Arabidopsis thaliana: one gene and its partners. The protein of the gene in region 4 interacts with the protein of the main gene of each other region in a pairwise test. Each region holds a gene or a part of one and is shown on either strand. Other genes may lie near its edges. The genes, in order: AT1G10586, BT1, MBD4 and AT1G76590.

The links.
Region 1: the proteins of AT1G76590 (region 4) and AT1G10586 interact in a two-hybrid assay, tested with the Arabidopsis thaliana proteins (one large-scale study listed by BioGRID).
Region 2: the proteins of AT1G76590 (region 4) and BT1 interact in a two-hybrid assay, tested with the Arabidopsis thaliana proteins (one large-scale study listed by BioGRID).
Region 3: the proteins of AT1G76590 (region 4) and MBD4 interact in a two-hybrid assay, tested with the Arabidopsis thaliana proteins (one large-scale study listed by BioGRID).

Annotation. Positions count from the first base shown.
Region 1 is NC_003070.9:3,495,715-3,501,696, forward strand, and holds AT1G10586 (basic helix-loop-helix (bHLH) DNA-binding superfamily protein), read right to left. Parts: upstream 3,726-5,982; 5' UTR 3,683-3,725; coding exon 3,545-3,682; intron 1,963-3,544; exon of another isoform or gene 1,942-1,962; coding exon 1,624-1,941; intron 1,486-1,623; coding exon 1,417-1,485; 3' UTR 1,214-1,416; downstream 1-1,213. Other genes in the region: AT1G10588 (Gibberellin-regulated family protein), read left to right, coding at 5,562-5,646, 5,754-5,941.
Region 2 is NC_003076.8:25,332,348-25,337,990, forward strand, and holds BT1 (BTB and TAZ domain protein 1), read right to left. Parts: upstream 3,224-5,643; 5' UTR 3,053-3,223; coding exon 2,921-3,052; intron 2,827-2,920; coding exon 2,687-2,826; exon of another isoform or gene 2,358-2,686; coding exon of another isoform or gene 2,341-2,357; coding exon 2,037-2,340; intron 1,936-2,036; coding exon 1,601-1,935; coding exon of another isoform or gene 1,597-1,600; exon of another isoform or gene 1,325-1,596; coding exon 1,138-1,324; 3' UTR 825-1,137; downstream 1-824. UniProt on the Arabidopsis thaliana protein: May act as a substrate-specific adapter of an E3 ubiquitin-protein ligase complex (CUL3-RBX1-BTB) which mediates the ubiquitination and subsequent proteasomal degradation of target proteins. Also targeted for degradation by the 26S proteasome pathway.
Region 3 is NC_003074.8:23,293,173-23,297,624, reverse strand, and holds MBD4 (methyl-CPG-binding domain 4), read right to left. Parts: upstream 2,341-4,452; 5' UTR 2,232-2,340; coding exon 2,184-2,231; intron 1,713-2,183; coding exon 1,200-1,712; 3' UTR 999-1,199; downstream 1-998. Other genes in the region: AT3G63040 (uncharacterized protein), read left to right, coding at 416-979; AT3G63020 (hypothetical protein (DUF3049)), read right to left, coding at 2,586-3,200. UniProt on the Arabidopsis thaliana protein: Transcriptional regulator that binds CpG, CpNpN and CpNpG (N is A, T, or C) islands in promoters regardless the DNA methylation status. Plays probably a role in gene silencing.
Region 4 is NC_003070.9:28,738,572-28,743,317, reverse strand, and holds AT1G76590 (PLATZ transcription factor family protein), read right to left. Parts: upstream 2,779-4,746; 5' UTR 2,444-2,778; coding exon 2,441-2,443; intron 2,347-2,440; coding exon 2,137-2,346; intron 2,051-2,136; coding exon 1,835-2,050; intron 1,733-1,834; coding exon 1,424-1,732; 3' UTR 1,087-1,423; downstream 1-1,086.

The DNA of each region.
Region 1 (5,982 bases), about 25 Mb from region 4:
ACTATATATGTTTCTATCAACAAATAGAAAAGGAAAATTGTTTTGTATACTGATAGAATCGGGACCACTAAATCAAATAGTATCATCATGTTCAATTAATTTGGTGCACGTATTCATTATCCGAGGAAAGTATCATAAGGCGCCATAACCTAAGATTATTCAACAAGCTATCATTATCATAGAAGAAAAGGACACAACACATTCGGCATTCCTTACATAAATTATTAAAGGCCCTCAACTCTCTTTGGCCGTATGGCCGACATCGTTCACCGGATAGGGGATCTACATGGACCGATCGTCTAAACGTTCACCGGAGGTGAATACAAAGACAGAAAATTAAACATGCCTAGTTTTGTTGAGTCTTGGAGTACTCCAGGTAGATGTTGGTCATAACTTTGCCACTGAGCAAACTGACATAAAAAGTAAAAGGAGCCGCAATATGATACTAACACTGTGTATATATCGTCTCGCTGCTTGACCACTTGCTTAGAAACTGAGTAAGGGACAATTATATCCTTATTGCATTTTCCACATGTTATTCTTTTTTTCCTTCTTCAAATATTTGAATTCGTACAAGAAGAGAATAGTCATTTGGTAACTATCATAATTCATAGCCATTGAAAATCCGTGACTAGAAATACAGATTAGCCCAATTTTAAAATGTTAAGCCTATAATTACTTGTAACTAATTCTGTGGCTAGAAAAGGATGATTACTTATAGTTAGAAAATTTGTAGCGAAATTTTTGTTATCGATCTATATATACTGTCCAATTTATATAAGACATTTAGAAAAAAAGATTTGTTTACTAGTTATGTCGTGTATATATACATGTTTTTTAAGTTTTAGTTAACTATATTCACATACAAAATCTAACCATGTGTGATTTTAGGAGAAAACAAAGATGAATGTCCTTGCTATCGCAATATGAAAAACTCCAAAAGTGGATCCAAATGCCTATGCCCTTGAACATGTTTTGAAGATAGTCATCAGATGCATAACATCTATCTATTCTATGTATGCAAATATCAATTACGACTATTTTAGACGGCGCCTGTAATAAAATATTTGAGCTTAAAATGCTCAATGAAAGAAAATTTGAGAGTTCTTGACAATAAAAGTAGATAATATATTTTATATTTAAACATGAGATTCTATAAACGTAATAGAGATTAGGCATAGAAAGAAAAGAGAAAATAAAGAGATTTTGAAGATGATGTGAGAGGCTTTTTCGTTCATATACTTGAGGAAATGGTATTCAGACATTTGATCATTCTCTTTAACTTAAACAACAATAGGGCTATTACACCAATTCACTCTTAAAAATACTCATAATCTCATGTTTAAAGAACTAACACATTTAATTTGTTAAGAAAAGACTTGTGATTTGGGATTCAATAATGCTTCAAAAAATTAATCATGAGATTATATCCCTTAATCTCTCTTCTATCCTTGATGGATCAATCCCGATCCGACATATGATAGCCTGCAAATATTCATTTAGGTGATTATTAATTTATCATATATATATAGTCCTTCAAAAAAAGTTCAAACTATATTTTAATGATATGGAACAAAGAGATGCTGCTAAAAAAAAAAAAAAAAACATGACACATGCATGTACCTGGGCTATGATTGTATAAAAGGTCCTATCATTCAAGTTCTGAAGATTAGCACTCATCACTTGAGCTCCTTCTTCTTCAAAAACACTCACAAGCTTGTGTAACATTACTCCTTTCATGTTTAGATCCATAACCAGATTCATTTCTATGATCGAATCCAGTGAACGAATACTGAGTTTTGGCAGAAGAGACGACCCTTCAGAGCGATTTTTGACTTCTCCTCCTAACATTCTCCTTTTCATCTCATTCAAATAGTTTACCTTCTCTTTCAGTTGGATCATGTATGATACCGCTTGATCTATAAGTTGAGGCACTGGCAACTGTTGGTGCCAATAAAAACACACAACCTAGTTACTTCCATGTCTTTTGTATGAATTTGGTTATAATCGTTATATGTATTAACTAAAATGTAATATACTAGATTTTAACCCGCGGTACACCGCGGGAACAATTGTTTTTTTAAATTAGTATATATAAAAGTTCGTAAATTATATCTATCTATAAAATATATTTATTTTACAGTTTACAACTGTTATTAAGTAATGTCCTTTCAAACCCGTCCCGCCAAACCCGTCCCGTAAAAAAAAACTACAGTACATCGTTGATTTAAATATATAATTAAAATAAATATTTTACGGGATTACAATTGTACTTTAGTTTGTCAAACAATTTTTGTTTTAAATAGTTGCCGAAATCTAGTTTAAATTTTGGAGAAATAAGATTTAGTGAATTGATAAAAAAATGTATTTAAGTGCGTTTTGCTCATTTTAAGGGATTGCAATTGTATTTTGGTTTGCCAAACATTTTTTGTTATAAATAGTTACCGACATTTAGTTCAAATTTTGAAGAAATCTGCGTGATATATGAGATTGTAATATATTTGAAATAGTTTTGAGAACGATGATTTTGTTACGTTTTAATACATGTACATTTTACTAACTGAAAATATGAGATTGATTATTTGTATAACACGGAAAATATGAGATTGATTCTTTATATTACAATGAAAATGAATGATTCAAAACTAAAGATCATAGTGTAATATAGTTTAGCTTAGAAAATAATTAAAACGATTTTATTTATTTATTTAGTTTTCTAAATTTTAGTTTAGATTCAGAAAATAATTGTTTAATTTCCTTAGAAGATGATAAACATATATGGAAGATTTGAATCTCTATATATTTTAAAAATCAATCAATAATGTCAATATAATTAAAGGATAGATTAGAAAAAAGTTTCTTGAATGCTAAATAATTAATTTGTTATTTATAAACAAAATATTAAATGCTGTAAAAACGAAATATTAAATAAATATGGAAAGAAAATTCTACCTTAAAATATTTTGTACTATTAAAACCGATTTTTTTTTTGCAGCAAATTAAAACCGAAAATTAATAAATACTTAAGAGAGATTTTAGGAATGATTTTTTTGAAGTAATGTTAGACTTTTTTTGAAGTAATGGTGGATTTAATATAGAGACATTTTAGGCAATATTTTTGTTAGGTAAATATTTGATTTAAAATGTCGATTGAAAAAAATAAATTCAGTGGCATTGAGTCGTAAATAAGTTCTAAGTCCAGGATTTATTTGTTAAAATGACTGCAAAAATGTATATATAGATATGAATCATTTGTTTTAACTCTACACTACATATAATGGTCCTAGCTGGCTTGTACTAAATACTGAGAACCCTAGCTAAATGCTGCACTTTGATTGATCTGGTTCAAATCAAGATGATTATCCCTTGATCAGTTCTTTGATTGATCTGGTTAAAATCAAGATGTCCATAGGATTTTCGCAACATAGCCCTTGCCTAAGCGTCTAGGCGCTTAGACAAAACCAACACATACATTACATCTACGAAAAATTATGTACTCTGTATATATAAACAATAAAATACATGTAGAGAGAGAGAGACGGACCCTACGAGTGGGAGAAACATGAGAAGAGAGTATGGAGAAGAGATGTTTCATGCGCATTCGTCGTTCTTTCTCTCTGAGGTTTCGTTGTTCCCGTAATGACGATGCGCTTCCTTCTCCTATTTCTCTCGCTCTTTCCATTCTTCTTCTTTTCCTTTTTTAGGTTACTATGTTTAATTCCCTCTTTCCAAATCCATCTCTCCCTCTATAAATATAAAGAGATAGAGAGAAAGAGCCGCGTAATTTTAGATGAAAATGATGTTTTTCAAAGAAAGTCATGGCTTTTCTGGTTGCGTCCATGAGCTTACACACTACTTAATTTATACATATATATGCTTCTTTTACTTTGTAAGTTCCACTCTTAGAGATACTAAACATGTCCAATATGTTTTTTACTTACTTGGTAAGGTTTTGTTGGACACATTTCTAGAACCTAGATAGTGTTACGCTAGGTTTTGTTCTAGTGAAGCTTGTAGAAAATGTGCTTATCAAAATCATTTCAGCAGAACATAGTAATTAAATTAGTCGGATTATATGTGATGAATTCTTCACATAAGTACCATGTTTGGATCGACAAAAACAACAAGGGAATTTTTTTGTTATACCATGATAATTATGTTGATCATTTGTAATAGGCTAGATAAAATTAAAGATACCTTTAAATGATAATGTAACAATTCCATGTTTAATTAATAGGTGTCCATATTTATTATCCGAATTACACTATACAGGTCACATATGCTAAGACAATTTGGTGTCAAAAACGAAGAATCTAAGATTATTCAACAAGCTATCATTATTCCTTACCGATATAAAAGACTTTGAACTATTTTTTGGCCGTAAAGCTGACATATTTCACCGGAGATGTCGTTCAATTATACACTTGACCAAGTCTTATTCTAATAACAAAAATAATAATTATACACGTGACCAATTCTAGATTGAACTTTCTAACCAATTCTACATGAATCGTTCACCGAATAAAAACAAAAACATAAAATTAAACCTCGCAAAATTGAGTCTTGGAGCCTTTGCTAATTTCTTGAATACTAAAAGCAGATCACTGTTGATCTACATATAATTATTTATTTCTGTTGTTCGTTATTTATCCATAACCAAACCATGATTAGAACTAAATCAGTTCTGTGGATGCGGTAAAACAATCTCTTCGTCGAATGACCCCAACCAAATATTCAAATGTACACTTGCTAAAACCCGGTTCATTGGTAGTCCGGTTTGGTTCGTAGTATTTGAGTCAATTTCATATCCCTAGATGTTATGCAGAATTTTGCCACCTAGACCGAACAGAGCGTTTTCAAAACTTGGAAAGGAAAAAACACAAAGCATTTAGAACATGATGGAACACATGTTAGCCGCAAAGAAGTAAAAGAAGAAAACCTTCATTTTGTCTTCTTTCCTTGTTTTGCAAAATCGTCCAAAGGAATAACTTGTGTATATTTATCTGTTTTTGGGTATAAAAGATATATATATATATATCGCCTAGTCGTCGCTGCTTGTTGTTGTCAAGGCACACATGTTTATTCTTTATTTTTGTCAAATATTTGAATCAAGATCAGCTACTATTCTAAGAAACTGGCTATTTCTAAAATAACACTCACGAATTAGCCATTATTTATAAAATGGTAACGGTATATTCGAGATTCCAGTCCATACATGTTATTAATAAAGAAAGATTGGATCTCCATATAAAAAATAGCTGTCTCTTACATTGTAGCACTAGCTAAAGATCTTTCAATACTACGTACCTAGTCATACAATTCTTTGAATATGGTTTTAAATTGTATGTGAATATTATTAAGTGAGAATAGTATCGACATAACAAGTATGAAATCTTTTATTTCTATATATTTTATTTAACAACCTATAACAAACATTTCACTTCAAATTCTCACTATATGTAGTCCATCATCAACTACTTTCTTTTCGCATATCTTTGAAGTTTTTGGTTTTACTAAACTAACTCTATCATAAAAGGAGAAAGCTTTAAATTTAACCAGAAATGAAGATGCCCGTGGTTGTACAATTCTTCATAATCTCTCTTCTCCTCACATCTTCATTTTATGTACTTTCAAGCGCTGATTCATGTAAGTGTATACTTAATCTAGTTAGTTATTTTTTAGGTTATTTATCATTTTGAAACTAGTTGTCTGAAATTCTAAGATTTGATTTGTGATGGTGATAAATGAATTAGCAGCATGCGGTGGAAAGTGCAGTGTGAGATGCTCAAAGGCAGATCGAACACATGAGGAGTGCCTTGAGGACTGCGATATATGTTGCCAGAAGTGTAATTGTGTTCCTTCGGGGACTTATGGAAACAAAGATGAATGTCCTTGCTACCGTGATATGAAAAACTCCAAAGGCGGATCCAAGTGTCCTTGAACATTCTTTGAAGATCCTCATCACATACATATTATCTACGT
Region 2 (5,643 bases), on a different chromosome or scaffold from region 4:
TCTTTTTTGTCGTTCGTATGTAAACATTCTTTTCTTTAATTCATACGTGGTCGAATCTTTAGTCACCTCTATCGTCATGATAAGAATCATTGTTGTCGTTAGTATTAAAACATCGGTGACTGCATTGCTCCACTACTCAGAAAGCTTTACGGGTTGATATTGTCATCTTCTTTTTTGTTTTTTTTCTTCAAAATATGTAAAAATAACAATTTAGAATAAGTTTCATGTTGAAACTTTAGTGAATGAACTTGCTCGAGTTGTTTAACCTTTTTATGTCAAAACTCGTGTTATAACATGAAAATATTCATTTCCATTTCAAAAGAACAATTCTTGTATTTGATTTTTTTTTTATTAAGTGCATTCATCTGGTAGTTAAGAAGTATGAACTGAAATGTAAGAGTAATTGACATCCGACACGAAACCACATTGCGTGGTTCATCTGTCCCCCACGCGTCTTTCCTTTTTCCAGTCGAACCCAAGTATGAATGAAGAATTTAATAAAAATATCTCTGTTTTAACTAATTATAAGCACATGTTTTTTTCTAATAATTTGCCTTGTTTGCTTTTGAATCCTCAATCATGATCAACCTTCCACTATACCAGTGACTAAGACCGGTTGGTCAATTTTGATCTCCAATATTGAATTTCTATTATTTCCATCAAAATTCTCCTTTGTATCATGCATGGTTGAAGCTATTGTGATTGATTAGACCGATCCAACTTGAATCTCATTTAGATTTTTTGTGATTCATATGCAACCAGGTCTAGTCATATAATTTGGCATGACCAATCAACTACAAAGAGAATAATTATTTTGTTTCCATCTTGTCACATTACTTTAGATTCAGTAATCCTTTTGCGTTTGACGTTAGCTAGTTTAAACCGGATCAATCTGTATACTTTTTGCCACAAAGTCTCCAAAAACCCTAATACCATTTTATAACCAATAATACATTTCTATATAATTCGACCGACCAAACAAAACGACAGATTCAAAGGGTTACTCATTGACAAGTTTAACCCAATCAACCAGTCCGAGAGACAAATAACAAACAAATAAACCTTCCGACTCAAGTAATTAATGGCTTCTAACAATCGCTCACTATATAATCTAATAAAAACACATATATTGTATATTCACATTAACTTGTTCCGGATTCTGATCAAATCTTCTGCTTCTTCTTTAAATAACACTTCACTTTTTTTCTTCTTTGATTGAGACAACGAAGACATGGCTTTAGCAGACGCTACTCTTCTCACCAGAACCTTCCACTTCGTGTCCTCAACCATTTTCTTGTCCTTTTCACCTCTATTCTTATATTGCCTACTCCAATCACCAAAACAAATAAAAAGTTGACAACGAGATCAGATTCTCATTTCTTAAAATATCTTTTAATAATTCTACCAAACAAAATATTTCCAGCCGTCCGATCACGACTCATCATCTAATAAGTAGGCTACCACCACAAAAAGATAATTATTATTGGCGCCGAAAGTTAAAAAAAAATCAAATGAGATCTACTATCGAAAAGTGAAAAACTTTTATCATTAGAAACATTTAAAATGTGGTTTTGATTATTCTAAAATGTCGGATTTTTACCTGCAAAGAGGGACACGGCAAGATTCAGATTGGTCACAAATCGAAGAATGGAGTCTAAGGAGTTGAATCATTCTCTTGCATCGGACACAACCTTTGCCATCGACTCTTTTCTTGCATACTGCAAAGTGACGTATAAGAAGTTGAAGTCCGTAACAAGTCGAAAACGCACTGCATGGACCGGGTTTTGCTTGACATGTTGACTTGTTGTCTAAGTTAGACGATGGTCCGACCAGTGTGCAACCTTCGGTGCATATGTGTTCTATACATTCCATGGCTTCACTCAGCTGCAAATACAGATTCTGTTCTCGTCTGTGTCTCCTTCTTCTTTTCTTCCTCTGCAAGAAATTGACCCAAAAGAAACCTAATTCAATAAAACAGAGTTTTCTTGAAGAACCAAAAAAAAAGAAAACAAAAAAGTGTGGTTTGAGTTAATTACCGATTCTGCATCGTCGATGAATTGGAGAATGTCAAGTTCAAGAAAAGGATCGTGTTCTTGAAGAAACTTCCATCCTTCTGTCTGTTCAACGGTCTTGAACTTGTAGTGAATGAATCGCATACACTTGAGACAGAGGTCAGGTGCGTCGCAGAGACGAGCCAGCTGGAGAATATCGACAACGTTTTCGGCGGTTACTCTCTCACCGACGCCTTTAGTGCACCGTTGCTTTAACTGAGTCACCATATACACGTGTGATAAAGCCAGTAGATGGATTCCGTATTTTTCCATCTCATTCTCCGTGACACTAAACAAAAGATACATATAGGGGTATTCTAGTCATTTTGCATACTAAGGGTAAAATTTGCCGTTGATTTATTCAAATTTGATGTTGGTACTAGTTTCGTGTTCCTTGTGTTGTGTTTCACACGTTTTTGAATATGAAACAAGTCTAAATCAATCGCAATCTGGTTGTAGTGATTTTAATGTATGATTAAAACGTTGGAAAAGTCGAGTTTGGTAAAGATCTTTAAGATGATGTATTTAATCAAGCATTCTTTTTAGTATGATTTGTATTTTTGAAGTAATAAATCTACGGATTAAAAAAAAAAATCTGACGATCAAGAAGATATGAAAAAGAGAGAAAGACGAACCTCGGAGAATAGAGGAATCTGACGAAGACTGAAACGGCGTCGCATGGAACACCGAGAATCTTAATAACTTTCTTCGATGATCCGCCGTGAATCTTCCTCGGCTTCTCGATGATGTTCGTCAGTACCGGTGAGACCGAAGCCTGCATTTAACAATTTTAAACAAACAAAAAAGATAAGCACCAAAATAAAAAAATATTCGATCATACAAAGAAAGTAAGAAGAAAAGAAACTTACGAGGATGCCGGAGTGTGCCGGAATACTACGACGACCGGAGGTGATGATCTCAACATCAGTTTCCACAAGATCATACGAAATCTTATTGGCGTTTAGTGAAACGCCGTCGTTTTGAGTGGCGGTTATAGCCATCGTTTTAAGTTTTCAGAGAGAAAGAGAAAGAGAGAGTGTTGGTAAATTTTGTTGTTGGAGGCTGGAGGGTTTTAATTTGATGATGGAGAAGCTTGAGGGCATTGCTTCTCTGGATTTTATAGACACAGCTCAACGAAGTCTGGTCCTTTTTGATTACTTGTTAATAACACGTGGCATTTTTTTATGATAAATATCTTGTTTTTGTTTCTGTTTTACCCTACGCGCCTTTGTAGATGCGTGTATGTCAATTAATCTCTGTTTTTTTGGTAACCAGAATAATTGGAAATAAAAGTAGTGAACTGTATATTCAGGAGTTTTGGGGTCTCAGATCTGTATTTCTCTGAGATAAGTTATGATTCATTGATAAATAATTTGCGGTTGTCTTTAACACCAACCCAAATGCAAGTAATTGGCTATGGTTTTTCCGTTTTGATAAATAGATAATCGTATATATAGACACTAAGACACAGATACAATTAGTTGTATCTTAATCTATACACAGATAACACCCAGTATTTGAGTCTACTTTAAAAGCATATAGTTACATGTTGTTATAAATTTTTATAAACTAAAATGAAACAGAACTTCTTGCTTACAAAATTTGAAGCAGAAAAACTGAAAATATACTACTGTTTGACAGAAAAAAAGAACTAACAAATGTGAACAAACCCAACAACAAAAAGCCTATGTGTACTTATCTCATTTATGTTTATATTGGACTAATAAATATACAAAGCACAATTTAAAAAAAAAAAAATCTCCAGAAGATAAGTTCAATTTTATTTTCCTAGTTTGAATAGTTTGAAAATTTAAGTCTGCATATCATTTTTGGACCCGAATGACATATTTTATTTAATTAGATAAATATATTTTCTCCATTCAGAGCTCATATCATATGTTAAAATCTATGATCAGTTACATTCATCTTACTACGCTTAGATATGTATAAAGGATTTGGTGATGCAGCTTATTATAAACTTCCCTAGGACTAATATGCCTCAAACATTGTCAAATAGCCGCAGTGCCCCCTAACACAACATATTCTATAATACATTGTATAACAAAAGTATTTTCTTATTCCCAACCTGATATACCAACAGGATCTAACCTATAGATCATTACAATATATTATGTTTTTAAATGGACCTTTCGATACACCAATGTCGACTATATTTTATTCCCAACATTACACACATATATTAATACTTTCCACTGAAAGTATCTAGAAATAATATTGCCTTTGGCCCTTTGTAATGTTTGGGATGACAATAAAACAAGTAATGTATTTTACTTTTGGTACCATGTAGGATGTTTGTCCCCATGATTCATGAAGTCACGAATGTTTATCTTTTTTTATTGATCCTACGTGGGAAAAGTGATAAAACCGGTCAAGAAATTTGCCTTTGTGATGTAGAAAAAGTGCTGATAGTAGTATTATTCTAAGTTTGAGAAAGGGTGGTTATTGAAGTAAACCGACCCTTGCCTCTTCCCAAGAGCCCACCTCCTCGTCTACGTGGCTTGTTGATCCTCATCCACTCTCAAGCCCTCTTGTCTATCCACTTGTCATTCTCTCATTTATCCATTTCTGCCACTGGCCTTTGTTAATTGTGGTTTAAGAATGCCTGAACATCATAGGATGTTGAAGAACTTATCGAAGAATGAAATAAATTTCGCCGCATATATTACACGTGGCAAATCTGGTAGTCTAGGCCAATATGGCAGTCAAGCTTAACCATTAACATCATGACACGTGTCAAATAAGAGCTTTATGTTGCGCATCAAGCTCTTAAACGAAGTACTTAAACGAATTCAGAATCAGTTCCAAGAAATTTCAATATCCGTGTTGACATTTAACAACTAGTGTAGACATCTCATAAGGCCATATAACTATTCTAAGTTTCTAACTATTGGAAAATTAATGTGTTAAGGTTTCAGAGTAGTAGTTTATGTACACTTTTTAGTTTTATAACATTTTATTATAAGATGTCGGGGGTGTTTTCCTTTCATTAACTCTACAAGTATATGTATATTCGATATATTAATCATGTTGTTGTTATAACTTTAAGTATTCACAAATGGCTCTTTAAGAAAACGAAACATCAAAATCCAAAACTTGTGGATAAGTTTCGACGGAAGAGAAAAGTGAAAAGTGTTAATAAACTAATGGATTTGATGATTTCATGTAAGATTCTTCCCAACACATTTAAGGGTTTAGAAATTAAAATATTACTGAACACTTTCTATTCTAAAATTGTTTGTATTCCACTTGAACTCTGAAGCACTGGAGATTGATGTGCATGTTTATACTCCGATCTTATCCTTTGAGTTTGGACTTTGGATATATATTGCCCATTTATATAATGCAAGTAGCCAAGTATGAAGTATCATGAATCAGCGATGTACTTATAAAAACTGAAAACAGTAGATTTTTAATGTTTTTAATTGTGTGTATAGTCTAGTTGGAGAAAGATGTATATTAGTGTATATTTCCATATACATTCTCCAATAAATAATTTTTATGGTTTGACATAAAAGTCTAACACGAAAAAATAACATGCTCAACACATTCAGTTTAAATATCTAGTTTTTTT
Region 3 (4,452 bases), on a different chromosome or scaffold from region 4:
AGAGGAAAATTATTCCTCTCATTACATTATCCATGACATGATAAGTTTATTCCTTGCCTAATTTGAGATTATACATATAGCTTGCAAAACCACTGAAACTATTTTGTGTGTGAATGAACCCATTAGACAAATGAAGAGAAAAAGACACCTGCCTTAAACCATCTCAAATTCAATGCAAGGATCAATTGAAGTCATTGGAACTTGTCTCCTCTCTTCTTTTTATTTTTTTGGAGTTTCCTTATGTTGGATTTGGACACGTCTATGCACAGGCTAAAGCATGATGTCCAAGTGGATGATAGGAGAATCTTGACCTACACGTACCCGTAACACCTGTAGAATCTTGCATGTCACTAACCAACCCCTCTATATAGTATAACACAAAAATTATCATCATAACCTATTACATCTATAAAACATGACTAGAGGCATGATACCAACAAAAGCAAAGGTAGTAGTCATCTCACTGATTTGGGCTATTCTGGTGTTGGAAAGTGCAACAGTGTCAAGTGCAGTAGAAGATTTGGTGGTGGAACAGTGCAAGCACAACTGTAAACATGATATCCACAACAAGAAGAAAGAGTGTGAAGATAAGTGCAATGAACTGTTGATGATGGAGATAGAGAAAGAGACAAGTGGACGACAAGAAGAAGAACACAATCCCTTCTGTGAGGCATTTTGCAACCCCTTTGAAGGACTCTTTCAACATTGCATGGCCGTTTGCCCTCGCACCAAGTCCAAACCAGAGATGATGGTCATAGGAGGAGAAGGTGTTGCTAATGAGGGTTTGCAGACAAAATGCAACAGAAAATGCCTGTCTTACACCGAACCGGAGGCCTATAAAAAATGCATATCCGGATGCTTCATGTCCAACGAGGAAGTCTGTGAGACATCGTGCAGTATTCTTCAAGAGGAACCGCTCACTATAAGGTGCATGAGGATTTGCCATGAGAGAATTCCCGGAGTTGTAGCCTCTACTTAATGTTTTACGAGGGGACTTGTAAGGAATAAGTGTGTTTCTTTGGTGTAAGAATCCAAATTAAAAGAATATTTAACATTTGAGTTCCGGTTAAAGAAGAGACAAAAGATCATATTTTTTTGCTTAGAGATGTTAATATCATAACAGTTTTAGAGAACATCAAATCTATAAAGACTCAAAACGCATTGCTTTAGGGAGCAGAAAGAAGGTAGAAGAGAACATATTAGTTATGGCTCTGCTTGACACTGCTCTTCTCTGAAGTAGTGGTAGTAGTGCTTGGAAAAGGAGAGCCAAGCTTCGGATCAGGGGGAACAGTATCTTCCATGACCTTGGGGACAGTGAAATTGAAGTCTCCAAGTGGTGCGTTCCTGAATTCCGGATTGGCTTCAACGAAGGCAGCGATTTCATTGCGACTCCTGAGCTTCTTCCCGGTAGGAGTAAAGTAGTAGGTATCCATCTTAGAGTAATCTTTTCTGAGAACTAAGCTTCTCTTGAAACCTTTAGGCGTTTTGGGGAGACCAGGCTTGTCAATGACCCAAGTCCGAGAAGAATCGTAGTCAATATCAGCAGGCTCTTCACAAGACATGCCCTGTTTCTTCTGACAGTTAAAAGGATCCTCGAGCATTTTACTTCTGATATCTTCATATTCCTCCTGGCTATCAATCACCCTCCACTTGTGACAGTTATCGCACTGTGCAGCATAGGTATCAATCAACCTCCCAGGAGCAACATCTTTCTGCCATTAAGTCTCAGTGAAACAACCCCACACAAGACTTGTGAGCGTAGAAGAAATATATAATGTAAGGCAAGAATAAGGAGCGACACTACTCCAGCAAGCGTTAAAGAAAAGAACCAAGGCTTTCTTAGAGCAATAACTGAAAGCAACGACACATCACGAGACTGACTCAAAGTTTGCAAGACCAAAGATTTCAAAGTTAACTACCAACAATTTACTTCCAAGCACCAAAAAATCGTGAACCCCAAAACTGATAACCTAGAATTCTATGCCTTGTATAACTTCCTCCATCAATAGTAACTACTAATACGGGATCTGAGATCTCCAAAGACAGTAAGAACACGAAAAACGCATGCACTTTGACCGGAATTATAAGAAGGTTCGCATCTAACACAATAAAGAGAAGAAAAACGCAAAGAACGGAACCTAGAAAATGGAAAGCGAAATATATGTAAGTCATTGTGGGACTACCTTGGCTTTTGGTTTCGCTGGTTTTCCGATCTCCTCCTCTTCCTTCATCTCACTTACTTCCCCAGATTCTTTTTTAGTAAACTTTTTCTCCAAATCTTTGTGTCCCCCAAAAGTAAAACTCTCTCAAATAAGTCTTCCTGCGAACAGTGTGATAACCGCACAGCCTGTGCTTTAATGTATCACTGTGACGGACAAATCATAAATTAACACGTCGGCTTGAGCGAATTATTTGGGCTTCAGGCCCAGGTTTGTTTTGCAACAAAATATTATTATGGGCCTAATATTCATAAGTAAAGCCCATAATTCCCTTTTCTTATCTTGTTTCTAACGGATCATCGGACTACAATGTCGTTTTTTCCCCCCGGAAAATTAGCTGAAAATATCAAAATTCTAAGAGGAAGATCAGTGATTCTGTTTATCTTCATTATCATCTTCTACTACGTCGTTTTGTTGACTGATTCTCACTGTTCCGATTCTTAGTCCTTCTCTCCCACGAACACTAACGATCTCCGGTGAATCTACTGCCACGCTGGCAATCTCTAACCGTCCTTCGCTTCTCACTCTCCTGTGATGAAATCTCGGCCGTCCGTTACAATCCAGTGTCGTCAAAAATGGTGGCAGATCTCGCTTCCTCGTCACGCTTCTTCCTCTCCGCGGCGACGGCGCCTTTGATCTCGACTCCGTCAGCAGCGGCGGTCCATACGGTCCCCACGGCGATATCTTCCCTCCTAGATAGAAACTGTAACTGTTATTTTTCGAAGAACACGAGAAATATTCGTCAAGAATAACTCCACACACACCTCTATGTTCCCTGCACTCGTCGTCGGGATTCTCGTGGTCTGATTTTATCTCTAGAGATCTGCTCACGGATAAGCTTTGAAGAGGTTCGCCGCCGGAATCAACAGGAGTGCTCCAGCGCCGTCGATGGGAATGCGTAGGCGTGTCTTCCTCTGCCATTGACGACGTGCGGTGTTCTTCATCTATATCTCCGGTGAGAATCGTAGAGGATGACGTCATGATTAACATAACCGCTCGTCCTTCCCTGTTCTCTACTCTCTACGATCGCAACTCTGCATCATTTTTTGGGCCTTAAACGAGATTTAATGATTTATAGTATTTGGTGGGGCCTCTGCGAGAGGTTTTGCCAGCGTGGCAAACAGATCAGGATTTACTCATTTAACGGGCTTTTGTAAACCATGACACCTTGTAAGTAAATTGGTCCGCATGGTCAAATTAAACCTTGTCTTGGAAAAATCTTTTCACCTGTAAAATATTAATCTCACCGTCCTTTTTCTGGTGGCAGTAATTGTGAACAAAATCTTAAATCATATTAACTTTAATTTTTGGGAAATACGCATGCAGCACATCGAATGATTTTTAAAAATATTACATGAATTTTTCTACGAAAATTTTGAAACTAGTTTCTAAACATTACTACAGTATTAACTAATGGCTGCAATTGAGAGGGTGAAAACATTGAATTGGGTCATTCCCCATCAGTTTTAAAAAACTATAAAGTTAATTGGGTCGTAATTGCATAAAACGTTATTTCTTTCCCGGAAATAATACTCAGTTCATTAATTTGATGGGCTTATAGAACGATATTCTAAAGCCCATTATACGGGCCACAAGAATCTTTTGAGACACTCGACAAATGGCAATCGCTAAAAGCAAACCCAAAATGTTTTAACGATATGTGATAACTCCTGAGCCATGCATGCTAATTTTGCTATGTCATTTTGTAAGAAAACACGTTACTACAAGTTGTCTTTGTTTAGACCGTTAAACGGCATGCAGTCTATTATTCTGGACTAACTCCATGTGAATGAAAACATACATATGATGACGAGTTGATGATGAATGCGAAAGTGATAAGAGAGCGATGATGTTTAATGGTCTTTAGGGTTTGAGATATTCGAGATGAATAAGGTTCGTGTCTGAATCTCTAGGGGTTTAGGTTAATAGGCTAATAAAGACAAAAGCATCGTTGTTCAATGCTTTTGTCTCTTCTTTACTTTTCTTCTCTTTCGTTTTCTTTTTCTATTTTTCTTCCATTTCTATGAATCTCTGCACATCTAATACACTTTCCATTCGGAGTAGCTCTACTCTTTAACTTCTTCCCATATTTTATAGTCTCGTTATTTCCCCTTTACCTCTTTGATTTTCTCTTCTATGATCAGGTTATTTTGTTGTCAAGTGTGGATTGGATTTATTTTCTTAATTTGGTAATATTTTATTTTTCTTATGTTCTAGTATTTCTTTATGATGT
Region 4 (4,746 bases):
TAGAATCCATATATATTTATATATTTATCGTTTCCTTTCCATTGCTTTAAATCATCAAAGGTTAGAGTGGAGGAGCCATCAAATGACCGAGAACAGCAAATGTGAGATATTGTGTCCCAAAAATCTCACGCTGTATGTCATAATCTATCTTGTTGAGATCAAGTTGAATCTATATGTAAACCCGAATCTGAACGATTTCAATATTGCTAAATTTTGCTTTACTGCCATGTAAGATTATAAAACTCTAGAATTTTCTATTTTTCATCAACAACTTACACATATTTGATTTTAGATCGTATTAAAATTCAGATTATTACATGGAAACAGTATAACATAAACCACTAAATTACAAACCTGAGTCGAATGATATTGCTTTCATTCGATATATTATAAGGTCATATAGTAATTTATGTTTTCTTTATTTTTCATCTATTTGTCCCAATCGAAAAAACCTTCATATTCAAGTTCTTCATCTTTCAACCATCTTTGACGAATCATAGGTTTTTCTTTTCCACCATCTCCCAAGACCCGCCAGATACAAAGATCAGAATGGTCTCTCCGATCTTTAAATCATAGGTTAGATCCAAAAGTCAGTCAAAAAAAAAAAAAAAAACTAAAATACAACTTATACATAAAAAAATTTAACATCAAAACACCATTAAAAGGTGAGGCAACCACGGAAAAAAGGTAGATGCATGACATCATGAGCATTTCAAATGCCGAAAGTTATTAGGATTTAGCGAAGTATTGTTTCGAAGAACCACGTTATATCGTTCGAAAATAAAAAAAAAATTCTAATAGCACGAGTTTAAAGTTGAAACTACTTGATAACCAATTTAGGGAAACGAAGTATTTGAACTGTTGTTAACAATCGACTTCTAAGTTCTAATGACATAAGCTTCTTTTGAGTCGAAGCTCCTTTCCTTGAAATAGATAGACCCAGAATGTTTTTTGCCCCAGCTTATCACCAATGTTTTTGTGTTCTGACAATACTAATACATGTCTTGATCGACAGTTTCTTATTTTAAATCTCGTTATTCGTCTGTATCATTCTCATTGACAATTTAGTTCTTCGAATATTAGCGCTTCAGTTAAAAATCCTAGTTATCATATTTGCTATTTTATTGTGAAGATAGTACACAGTATACGATACAAACAAGTTGAAGAAACATACCTCCTTCAAACGTATATTTACAGCAAAAAAACTATATGAAAACATATTTCAATCCCTTTGAGTACAGTATATACCTAATTTCTATATGTACTATAAAAAGAAAAACCAAACAATACCTGTAAGTAATATGTCTTACAATATGTATATTCCTAGCTCAAAAGGTTAAAAACTACTAACCATTTAGTTACAACATAACAACCACATTTTCTATAATCTACACTATATAATTAGCTTCCGTTAGTATTAATTTTAGAAAGGAGCACGGTGTGGGACGCCCTTCCGTCTACTTGAATTCCGGTGATTATATATCGGCGGTGTCCCCGGAGAAAGTTTAAAACCGCTCTCATCACCGGAGCTCGAAGACGGTTGATCTCCTGACAAGTAATCACATTTAACGGTGGAGATGGAAAGACCACTCATCAGACGGTTGAAAGCACATGTCTTGCGTATCTTAGTTGGTGTAGTCGCTTCATCAGATTCCCACTCACCTTCGTACTCTCTTCCATGCTTCCCTCTCAAAGAGAAGGTTAGACTTGGATCACGCTTCATTCCTCCAAGCTGAAATAAACCAAACAAAAGGGCAATATGGTCATTTCAACTATACAGAGCAAATTCAGATATTCATTCAAAACAGAGGAAAACAGAGGAAAGAAGAGTTACTTTGCAACCGAGAGAGCAGAAACGGAAAGAATCGAGAAGGCTTCTGCAACAGATTTCACAAGTATTGGTGACTCCTTTGCCGATTCTTGGCTGAGGACGTTCGTTCAAGAAAACGATCCTTGCGCTGTTGATTATATATGTCTGAACACAAGATATGTCTATGTACTTCTGAATCTCGTTTACTCTCACAACGTTGTGGTACGATGATCTCCGTATCTGCAAGTAATGAAAATCCCATTTTCTTAACTCTGTTGGGTGAATTGGTAAGAGAGAAAAAAATGATTTGAAGTTGATGAAAGAACCTGGAGGACACGATGGTTTCTGTGATTGAGCAAACAGTAAGAGCAAAAGGCCTCAGAAGAACAGTCAAGACAGAACATGTTGCACTCGCTTTTGTTGGAAGCGGCGTGGATTGAACAAGGGATGAAGTAGTTTGCTCTTAGCATTGGGATTAGCCATGGTGGAGGATTTAGATTGTAGTTATCTTCTTCTGCTCTCATCATCATCGGTCCCTGAAGAATGTTTAGACCAGTTCCAAATGGTTAATATAAGAATTTGCAAAGAAACTAAAACAGAGTTAAGTAAGAAAGAGAATCAATCAATCACCATAGTTATTGTGAGTTTTGATAGCCAGCTTCAACAGTGAAGAAGAGCAGATTTGATTGAAAAGACTATGAGAGGATTTGAGTTTAGTGGGAGGAGGCGGCGGCTATAGCTGAAAAAGAGAAGTTGAGGTTTTTCTTGTTTTTTGAAGTCGGTCACGATAATACTCAATACGTTTTATAATTCACATGAAAATCATTTAATATCATCCCCTTTTTAAACTGTTTTTATATAGTTTTTTCTTTAATTACTTTTTTTGGCTAAAAATAAGTGTTCTCTAATTTTGCTTTAAAGTCTATGAGAGACACACGTATATTTTGTGCACATGTGTGGGTCTCTAGAGACCCCAGAAGTAAAGGAACTTAAAAAAAAAAGGTGGTGTTATTGATAATTTTGAATCATTATTGTTCACAAATGATGATAAATAATTTTATGTCGTGGTTCGCGACAAAATATCGAATTAGCCGACTATATTATTCGGTCCTACATAATTCCCAACGTAGGAAGATATTTTTTCTACCAAATTTGATTGTCTTAATATCTACTACTATTCATTATGTTTGTGATAGATTATGATATTCACATACATACGGATTATTGGAAGTATCATACGGCCATAGAAGAGAACTCTGAGTTTGGAATTTGGATGCTAAATTTTAGCTACAAGAAATAATTTGTTTTTTTCTTAAAATTTTAAAAGGTCAAAATTAGAAACACGTGGCTAGAGGTGAAGAGCCAGAGAGATGGACCGACACGAGAGGAGACAGAACCGAATTGGAGATTCTGGTGTGAACCGTTGGATTAAAAAGACAAAATCTTTTATAATGTAACGTGGCTCACGCTTTTGGCCCTTTTGGTAGTTCAACCCACATGACCAATCTTAGACCGTCGGATGAAGAAGTTGAGTGGACCGTACATAAGCCACCTCTTGAAATCGTAGGGTTCGAAAGCGTCTGTTACGTGCCAAAGAGTTCTTATCATCTAGTGAGTACTTTTCGCTGAAAGTGCTTTAAACTAGTTTCAAGATTGTGTGTGTGTGATCTAAACTGTTAGATTTTTACGGTCAAAGTGATATCTATATTAGTTGTACGGCTTATGTGTGTGTGAAACTGTTCACATATATGATCTCTTTAGGCTCAAACTGTTAGAAGCTTTCATTTTTTTTATCAGCTGTTGACAAAAGAAACTGTACATACTACTATTATCACCGTTAAATCCATCTTAATATTCATACTTGATAGCTTATATTGGGGGCTGGTAACGAATTAATGAAGCTAGAAAGATAGTTTCAATAGATATGATCAAAAAGTTTGCAATTAATTTGAGATTGCGGATGATATGTCGAAACTACGAGTAAGTTTTCTAGTCCCTACCCAAAAATTATGCAATAGAAGTATCTGTCTTCGACGTATTTTTCAGTCCGCTATCTTCTACATATAATAGAGTTTGAAAGTTAAGTCTTCCGGCAAAATCCAATAACAAGTATTTTTAAGTATCTTATCTTAAATGACAAGTAGTAAATAATCAACATAGATATATAATGTATTACTCGAGAAAGAGACCTGATATCATATTATATGGGATAAGAAACCTAAAGAGATAATAATAAAAAGAGAAGTGTGATCCACGTAATCAGATAGTAGCTATCTATAGAAAATTACACATAACAACTAATTGTTCAAAATGTTGGGAGAAAAGTCGACGAATCATCGTCTTCTTTTCTGCGATCTTATCTCTTTCAACTACACACAAAAGAGATTAGTTTTATTGTTTTGTTTGTATTCATAAAGTGAGTAAATTGAAAAATATCCCAAACAAATGTGGGAAGAAGAAGGTAAAGATGGGGCAATGCACTGTTGACCGACCTCAACAATAGTAGTCAATAGCACGAGACTCACGTGACCGTTGTGGTTTATTTGTGAAGAATCATCTTCACTTTTTAAGATGTCCCTTTAAAATGTTTAGCAAGTAGTGGCTAATACTACTTTTACGTAGGATTAACCAAAAAGGTATTACATTACAATTTTACAACAATGTTCAACTACGTTCACAACTCTACAGAGATACAATAAACACACAGGAGAAAACAGCTTCAGTAAAATAGCAACAGCTTTTGTGTTAAGCAACTAAAAACTGTAATTAAGGGAGAATGGGAAATTAACATATGCAAGAATAAAACATAATTAGCCAAATATATAAAAACTTGGGTGTTGTGTTGAAGCTATGTCTGCTCTGACCTGAACCAGTTTCTCTGTACTCTCTGGCTCACCAAAGACCAGTGAGTGATTCCATCTCTGCAATGTCCAAGA